Linked DNA regions of Neurospora crassa OR74A. The protein of the gene in region 1 binds, or shares a complex with, the protein of each later gene. Links are inferred from orthologs where the notes say so. Each region holds a gene or a part of one and is shown in the gene's direction. Other genes may lie near its edges. The genes, in order: NCU08503 and NCU09465.

The links.
Region 2: NCU08503 (region 1) and NCU09465 share a complex: the UniProt entries of both Saccharomyces cerevisiae proteins name them as parts of the 2-(3-amino-3-carboxypropyl)histidine synthase complex. The link is inferred for Neurospora crassa OR74A from reciprocal best matches to the Saccharomyces cerevisiae genes DPH1 and KTI11.

The regions. Positions count from the first base shown.
Region 1 is NC_026502.1:3,432,643-3,436,874, reverse strand, and holds NCU08503 (diphthamide biosynthesis protein 1), read left to right. Parts: upstream 1-1,638; 5' UTR 1,639-1,852; intron 1,853-1,872; exon of another isoform or gene 1,873-1,919; 5' UTR 1,920-2,025; coding exon 2,026-3,405; 3' UTR 3,406-3,578; downstream 3,579-4,232. Other genes in the region: NCU08502 (40S ribosomal protein S6), read right to left, coding at 52-147, 208-375, 506-868, 947-953, 1,023-1,102, 1,325-1,330; NCU08504 (hypothetical protein), read right to left, coding at 3,770-4,232. UniProt on the Saccharomyces cerevisiae protein: Catalyzes the first step of diphthamide biosynthesis, a post-translational modification of histidine which occurs in elongation factor 2.
Region 2 is NC_026502.1:4,367,841-4,371,639, forward strand, and holds NCU09465 (diphthamide biosynthesis protein 3), read left to right. Parts: upstream 1-1,605; 5' UTR 1,606-1,781; coding exon 1,782-1,976; intron 1,977-2,087; coding exon 2,088-2,141; 3' UTR 2,142-3,135; downstream 3,136-3,799. Other genes in the region: NCU09466 (hypothetical protein), read right to left, coding at 3,354-3,799. UniProt on the Saccharomyces cerevisiae protein: Required for the first step of diphthamide biosynthesis, a post-translational modification of histidine which occurs in elongation factor 2.

The DNA.
Region 1 (4,232 bases):
CGAATTCGTGAAAGCAACCGGATATCATCCATCACACCTGACTCCGAACGCTTACTTGCGCATGGAGGAGGCGCGGCGCTTGCGGGCATCGGCCTTCTGGACCTTGGCCTCAGCGATGCGCTTGGCGAGGATCTGGGCGTACTCAGACTGTTATGATGGTTAGCATTTCTGCAGTGCTTTTCAACGAGGGGGTTGGGCAAGACTTACAGCCTCCTCCTTGACCTTCTCGGCCTGGCGGCGCTTGAGAGCGAGACGGTGTCTCTTGTGCTGGAGGCGCTGGGGAGTGACGAGGCGCTGGATCTTGGGAGCCTTGGTGTAGGGCTTCTTGCCTTCACCCTTGGGCTGGACCTCGCGGCGAATGACGTACTTGCGGACCTATTCGTCGTAGAAAAAGTGGATAATTAGCCTTTGGTGTTCATCTCAGACTCTACCCGACGAACTGCGCGAGGATCATCGCAACAGCTCGGGGGCAGGCGATGACGAGATTGCGTAGAGAAACACATACATCGTCATCCTTGCTGAGGCCGAAGAAGCGGCGGATCTTGGTGGCGCGCTTGGGGCCGAGACGCTTGGGGTGGACGACATCGGTAAGGCCGGGGATGTCCTGCTCGCCCTGCTTGACGATGGCGAGGGCAAGGACGGAGAGATCAGAGCCGACGATGCAACCGCGGACGGACTTTCTCTTGCGCTCACCGGTGCGGCGGGCACGGTAGCAGGAGTGGCCGTCGGAAAGGAGAAGGCGGACACGGTTGGGGGCAATGACACCCTGCTTCATGGGGAAACCCTGCTTGTCGTTACCGCCGGTGATGCGGAGGATGTAGCCCTTCCACTCGTCACCAAGGGGGTCGGCGGGGACCTCAGCGCCCATCTATAGTCGACGTGTCAGTTTCGGGTTCGGTCATCGTAGTTGGTTTCGATGTGTCGTCGATGTGTCGGGAAAACTTACGCGCTTCCTGTAGTGAGGCTGTTAGCGACATGTCTTTGGATACCAAATGCAGCTTGTAATGTGATTTGCCACTTACTCGATGAAGTGACGGAGCTTGCGCTCATCCTCGACCTCGATCAGCTTCTGCGAGCCGTTCGCAGGGTACGAAATGTTCAGCTGTTGGTGGGCGTGGGGTCAGCCTCATGTCCATGTCTCCATTCCCATCATCAACATTGTCGCGGTGGTGATGTTCTGGCTCCTCTTTTCCCTCCTCCAAGTTCCCATTTTCGCGACCTCCAGGTGTCGAAATTTGACATTGGACGCTCGGACTCGTGAAAAAGCACAGAGACGCAGTCATGCCGTAGCCATGACGCCGTGGATATCGGGGAGTCGTCGTACCTTCATTTTGGCGGTATTTGGGGCTGAACGACCGGAGTTGGGTGTTGCGAATTGAGACGACTCGAGAAATTCCGAAGGGGAAGATTTTGTGTGGGTGGTGACCGCTTTTGCTAAGGACAATACGGTCGAAATCTTAGGGCACAATTTCCGGGGTATTGATTGGCTGCCGTCTCAGCCTGACCCGCTTAAAAATCTCCCGCTGCGCTTGGACCAACTGCCAGCCGCGAAACTTTCCACTTGCACAAGTTGACCCATGAGCCCAGGCCTACAAGTAAGCATTTGGAGAAGTGGGGCTGGGTACGCTTTGCCGGATTGGGGTTTTGTACCTTTGATGTTCCCAAGTCTCAACGACAACATCCACGACGACATGCTATGGTAGAAGTGAGATGAGGCCAAGCTTGACCGAATGATAGACATAGAATACGCTATGTTCAAGGAATCTACAATTGAATAGTTCTGCAGACACAATATATTGTGCTCTTCTTCTGCTGAAAGTTTGTTGTTCAAGACTTTGGTAAACCCCAGAAGGTACTTGGCAATTTTCACTTTGACAAATCCTACCTCACCTCACTCACTTGAGAGATATCAACCTCAGAAAGCGTGACGAGACACTCAACTTTTTCGCAACACCCTTGAGCCTTACAGACCCGAGTTTGGATATCATCATTGGGCTCGACTCAACAAAATCACAAAGGTTTAACATGGAGGACGACCGCGCCCAAGTCGACCTCGGCATCGCCGCCGACATCGACGAGATGAACCCTCCCCCTCCCCCCTCCGTCCAGCAGAAACAACCCAAGAAGCGTTTCCTGGGCCGACAAAGCGCCGCCGCCGGAAAGTCCTCCTCGTCCTCATCCAACAGCACCTCCCAACCCGCCGGGGCCAACACCTCCATCGAAGACAGCGGCGCCATCCAAGTAGCCCAACCGCGCCGCGCGCCCCGGATGCTCAACCAAGTGCCCGACTCGATCCTGCACGACGCCGCCCTAAACGAAGCCATCGCCCTTCTGCCATCCAACTACTCCTTCGAGATCCACAAGACCATCCACCGCATCCGCACTTTGGACGCCAAGCGCGTGGCCCTGCAAATGCCCGAGGGTCTGCTCCTCTTCGCCACCACCATCTCCGACATCTTGACCCAATTCTGCCCCGGGATCGAGACCTTGATCATGGGCGACGTCACCTACGGCGCCTGCTGCATCGACGACTACACCGCCCGCGCCATGGGCTGCGACCTGCTAGTGCACTACGCGCATTCGTGCCTCATCCCCGTGGACGTCACCAAAATCAAGACCTTGTACGTCTTTGTGGACATCAGCATCGACACCTCCCACCTCTTGGCAACCTTGGAACGCAACTTTGCGCCGGGTAAATCCATCGCCATGGTGGGCACCATCCAATTCAACGCCACCATCCACGGCGTGCGCTCGACGCTGCAAAAAGCCGGATACGAAGTCATCATCCCGCAAATCGCGCCGCTTTCCAAGGGCGAGATCCTGGGGTGCACATCCCCCAACTTGTCCCAGTTCCTCACCTCGTCCGGCAAGCAAGTCGACATGATTCTGTACCTGGGCGACGGCCGCTTCCACCTCGAGTCCATCATGATTCACAACCCATCCATCCCCGCCTACCGGTACGACCCTTACAGCCGCAAACTGACGCACGAAACGTACGGCCACGAAGAGATGCAGGACGTTCGCCGCTCTGCCATCCGCCAGGCCAAGACGGCCAAGAAATGGGGGTTGATCTTGGGTAGTCTCGGACGGCAGGGGAACCCCAATACGTTGGGTCTCATAGAAGAGAAGCTAAAGGCCAACGGCACGCCGTTTGTCAATTTCTGTCTTTCAGAGATTTTCCCGGGAAAGCTGGCGATGATGAGCGATGTCGAGTGCTGGGTGCAGGTGGCGTGTCCGAGACTGTCGATTGATTGGGGGTATGCGTTCCCTAGACCGCTGTTGACGCCGTATGAGGCGCTGATTGCGCTGGAGGAGAAGGAGGATTGGGGGAAGGGGGCGTATCCGATGGATTATTATGGTAGAGAGGGGTTGGGGAGGACGAAGCCTGCTGCTATGGAGGTTTGAGGGTTGTGAGACTCGGGGTGGTTGGCTGTATCTGTACTATGATGAATTTGGGATTTAGGGCGTATTGGTTATACAAAAAGGAGGTTCATCTGTTTTTTTTTTCTGCATACGAAGAATATTACTTACAAAATATGGCAAGTGAAATGTGAACAAGTTTTGGTTGTGGTTTGGTATGTATCCAATTGATTTGCGTGTACGTATACAAGGTAGGTTATGTCAACCTTTTTGTTCAATCACAATGCACAAGAAGCCAGCCCTTTATTGCTCAACCTGGCTGCGTTTATATCCATCCGTCTATCCAGTCCGTCCAGTGTCCTTATCCTTCCTAGTCCCATTCCCTCTCTTTTCTTCAGTCAATGCAATTCTACCTTTGAACAGATGCAACCCTTCTCAGGGGTAAATACGACGAGAGACCTGATCGCCAACCAAAGCCCAGTTTCCTCCTATTCATCTCGCCTGCTGCTAGGTTATCATTAGCTGTAAAGGCGGAGCCCGTCTCCCTCTGCTGTTCTATGTCCTGTTCTTGCGCTTGCACCACCCTTGGCCTGGCAGTAACAGCAGCGACCGGCTTCTTCTGATGACTCCTCAGGTGATCCTTGGTCAAAGCCATCAGATGCGGCACCGTGGCCGTCTCCTTCGCACCCTGGCGAATCTCAGCCGCTGTTTGCGCCGGTAACGCTTCCATGAGGATATCTGCTAGCTGGTTATCCAGTTCCTCCTTCCGAGCAAAGCACGCTGCGACTGCGTTGAGCCCCGTGCTGGGCGTGCGCATCTCCCGATCGTACTTGAGGCGCTTTTCCAGGGGCACCTCGACGTCCCAGTGCTGC
Region 2 (3,799 bases), about 940 kb from region 1:
TACACTTCTTCGGGCGTCACCACGTCCACTTCCACCTCGACTTCTACTGCGTCCCCGTCTTCGGTGCCTAGTGCTGCGGCTGGGAAGGTGCCGTTGCAGGGACCGGCGGTGGGGTTGGGTGTTTTTGCGGCGGTGGGGATGGTTTTGTTGTGAGAAGAGGTTTCCTAGTCTTTTGGGTTAAAATGTTTGTGATGTCTCGGGGCTGGGTTGAGTTGTCTGGGTTTCGGTTTCGATGTTGATGGTTGGGGGTGTTTGGTTGTTTGTTTGAGATGGGAAAGTAAACGAGTGAGCGAGGTATTGGCTGGGATGTAATGCTGTGGAATGCGTGGTGTCTATTTTCTGATGATGAAGAGTTGGGAATAGAAGGACGGTATGGTATAGTTCGGTGGTAGTGGTTATCCAAATCATGATGTTGTTGAGTCCGCTAATGTTGGTTGTTGAGCACACACGAAGGGACTTTGGTGCTGGTTTCATTTTCGTTATTTGGGGAGGTTTGGGTGAGGAGATTCGCGGAGACTGAAGAGTGAAGCATCGAGTTAAGATCGAAGGGATGATTTGACAAGGGGAGACGTGCGGCAGAGCTTGAATTCAGGGTAATGATGTTAGGGGATTGGGGATAAGTTCCTGGTGAGAGAGGAGGAGAAATGGAGGCACAACAGCATCAACAACAGTATTGGGAGGTGGATCTGAGGATGGAAGTCCAGATAGTTGGGGTTTCGTGAGAACAAATCAAAGAGGAAGTGTGGGTAGCGGTACGAGTGGGCGAAAGGACGCGAGGTTCTTGAAGATGCAGTTCTTGAGGTGAATGTTATGTGATGATGGCCAGAAGGAGGCAGAGAAGCATGAGGAGGCGTATCTGGTACATACAGAAAAGAGTTGATAATGAGTTTCTTTTCCTACTTAATCTTTCGGTGAATATGACCTCCAAGCGTCTCAACTCGTTCGAAAAAAATACTCTACTTCTTTCGACCAAAGAAAAGAAAGGGAAATGATGTCAGGAGATTGACCACCACTTCAACACGCAAAACGCAAAAAGAAACACGAGATGGTTGCTGGTCGCAGATGCATGAATAGCAAAAAGCCAAAAAGATATTGTGGATGACCCCAACCCGATTTGAACGGATAACCTTTCGATCTGGAGTCGAACGCGCTACCGTTGCGCCATAGGGCCTTGTTGAAAGTAAGGTTCATACCTAGGCTTTATAAGTAAAAGATGAGAGCCCTGCAGCCAGTGACAACATGCTCATCTTCATGCTCTTCGGTGATATGCAATCTCAGAAAAGTTTTTCGAGCCTTGGGGATAGCTTGGTTCTCTTTTGCCATTATATAAATGGATTCTGCGCTTGGTCTCATGGCATGTCTTTTGCGTAGCATGACTACAGCGATTGAGGAAGATTCGCTGTAGTGACGAAGCAATACGAGGTCTTGGTAAGTTACACAGCTTTGACCTACACGCATTGCCCAATCTTGGCGTACTACACGGTAAGATACTCTGCCCACCCCCACACTTCCATCCGCGCGCCGCACGCGCCAAAAGTTCACTGCAGTTCCCGTCACATCTGACATTTTGCCCCTCCACTGTCCCGCTCGCCGCGCTGACTCTTTTTTTTTCCCTGTCCGTTCCTTCAACTTTCCAACATATCATATCATCAGCCTCCAATCCAACCAACACTCCCAACTTTTTCGCTCCACCATCCAAACGATACTATCTAGCCCAGCTCGCGACATTTGCAACCCGAACAGATCCCACAAGCCGCGAAGTTTCAATCGAAATAACCAAAATGTCCGACGAAGAATACTCCATCTACGACGAAGTCGAAATCGAAGACATGACCTACGACCCAGCGCTGCAGACGTATTCGTACCCCTGCCCATGCGGCGACAAGTTCGAGATTGCGCTCGCCGACCTCCAGGACGGTCAGGACATTGCCGTTTGCCCGAGCTGTAGCTTGATGGTCAGGGTCATTTTTGAAGTTGTGAGTATTGCCATTTTCTGTGTGTGGGGGGAGGGACCAGGACATGGAGGCGAGAAGAGTTTTGGGTGGAATGCAGCAGTGTTGCTAACCAACGGATGATTACCTAAACAGGATAACCTCCCCAAGGCACCGGATGCCGCGGCGTCTATTGCTGTTTCCGCTTAATGGGGGACTACGAAGTCGAATGAAAAATCTAAGAGGCGCGGAATATAGAAGTGGCTCGCAACGAGGCGCTCATGATTCCGTACACCGAGGTTGAAGGTTAGGATAACACCAGCCTTTCCGACATCAACTTGCAACCAAAGCCACAATGATACAGCAGAAGCAAGCCGATTGCTTTCTCGAGCCCAGTCCAGTTCATACCAGCCGTCCTCGCCCTGGTTTGCATCGAGATCACGCCCCGCTGGCACAGCCAGCCAGTTAAACAAGCCGACCGAGCCAATGTACCAGTCGACAGATCCTCTGCTGTCCCCCGCCGATGCGAATGACCCTCAACCGGCGATAATGATAACCAGAACCAACTCGATTTGATTTGATCCGAGATCAGATCGACCTCGTCCAGAAAATAACAGCGTCGCTGCCCGGCCGCCGGGAACAAAGCAAGCAGAGCGACCATGACCTTCCAGGCCCCTGGTGCCGTTTACATCCAAGGATTCGTCGGTCGGATTTGCCAGCAGCTGGGTGAAAGCATTCAAAAACAAAGGGGATGCTTCATGGGTGGGCCTGGCTTTTCGCTGCCCTTGGCTTTTGTCTGCGACCGTGTGCTTTGGGCGTTGGGTGTTGGGCATCACAATCAACATTGGGACAGGCGTTTTCTACGTTGCAGCGGTTGATTTTGGGCGTGCTTCTTGGCTAGGATGGGATATCAAATAGATCGAAAGAATGGCGGGGCGGAGTGCGAAGGCAGGGGCTTGATTTAGATAGGTGCTCGGATGGCTTCAAATCGCGCACTAGATGGACGTGTCTCATGATCGGAAACGTGCGATGGAAGTGATAGGACTTTATCAACGCTTTGGAATCTTGTGTATATTACTTATATAGGCGTTGGGGTTGGGATATCTGCTTTGGAATTGGTGATCTGGGAGTTATTGCTTGAAGCTCTTTACCAAGTAGGAAACTACAATGACAGTCCTAAAGAAAAATGAGCATTCAACACCTGCCACGAGAATCTTGCATTGACTATCCTCTTTCCAACTTTCCATCTCGTATTAATGTAGAATAAGGTATGCTCATAATCTGATGTGATCGATATAACCCCATCCAGTTAACTCTTCCCCATTGCTCCTCCACGTCATCCCTCCATTCTCTCTCACCCCATCAACCGTTTCCATCCCATCAGTACCCCCAGGGCCTCACCCTCATGTCAATGTCAGGTACCTAACCACCCAAAAACCCCCTCCTCTCATTCCTCTTCCTCTCGCTGCTCAGCGCATCAAGCTTAACCGCCACCAAACAACATTCCACCACCGACGCCTTAGCCGGGTTGGGGTTGGGACTTGACTGAATACGCAGCCGCCACTGGCCGGTTTTGACGATCCATTGCTCGCCGCCTAGTGGTGATGAGGTCGAAACGCTGGTCACTCCGTAGGGCGGACTGGAGTCTAGGCGTCGGCGTTTTCGAGGGTTGGGGTTTTCGTCGGGTGATGATGATTGTTGGAAGGGGGAGGGTTTGGTGCTGGGGTTGATGGAATCGGGGGTTTCAGCTGTTGAGGGGCCGCCGGAGGACGAGGAGGCAGATGGAATGGTAGTGCCGGGGGTGTTGTTTGTGGTTCCATTTGCGGGTAATGATGGATGGGCAGTCTGATCGGACTCGTCTGCTGTCC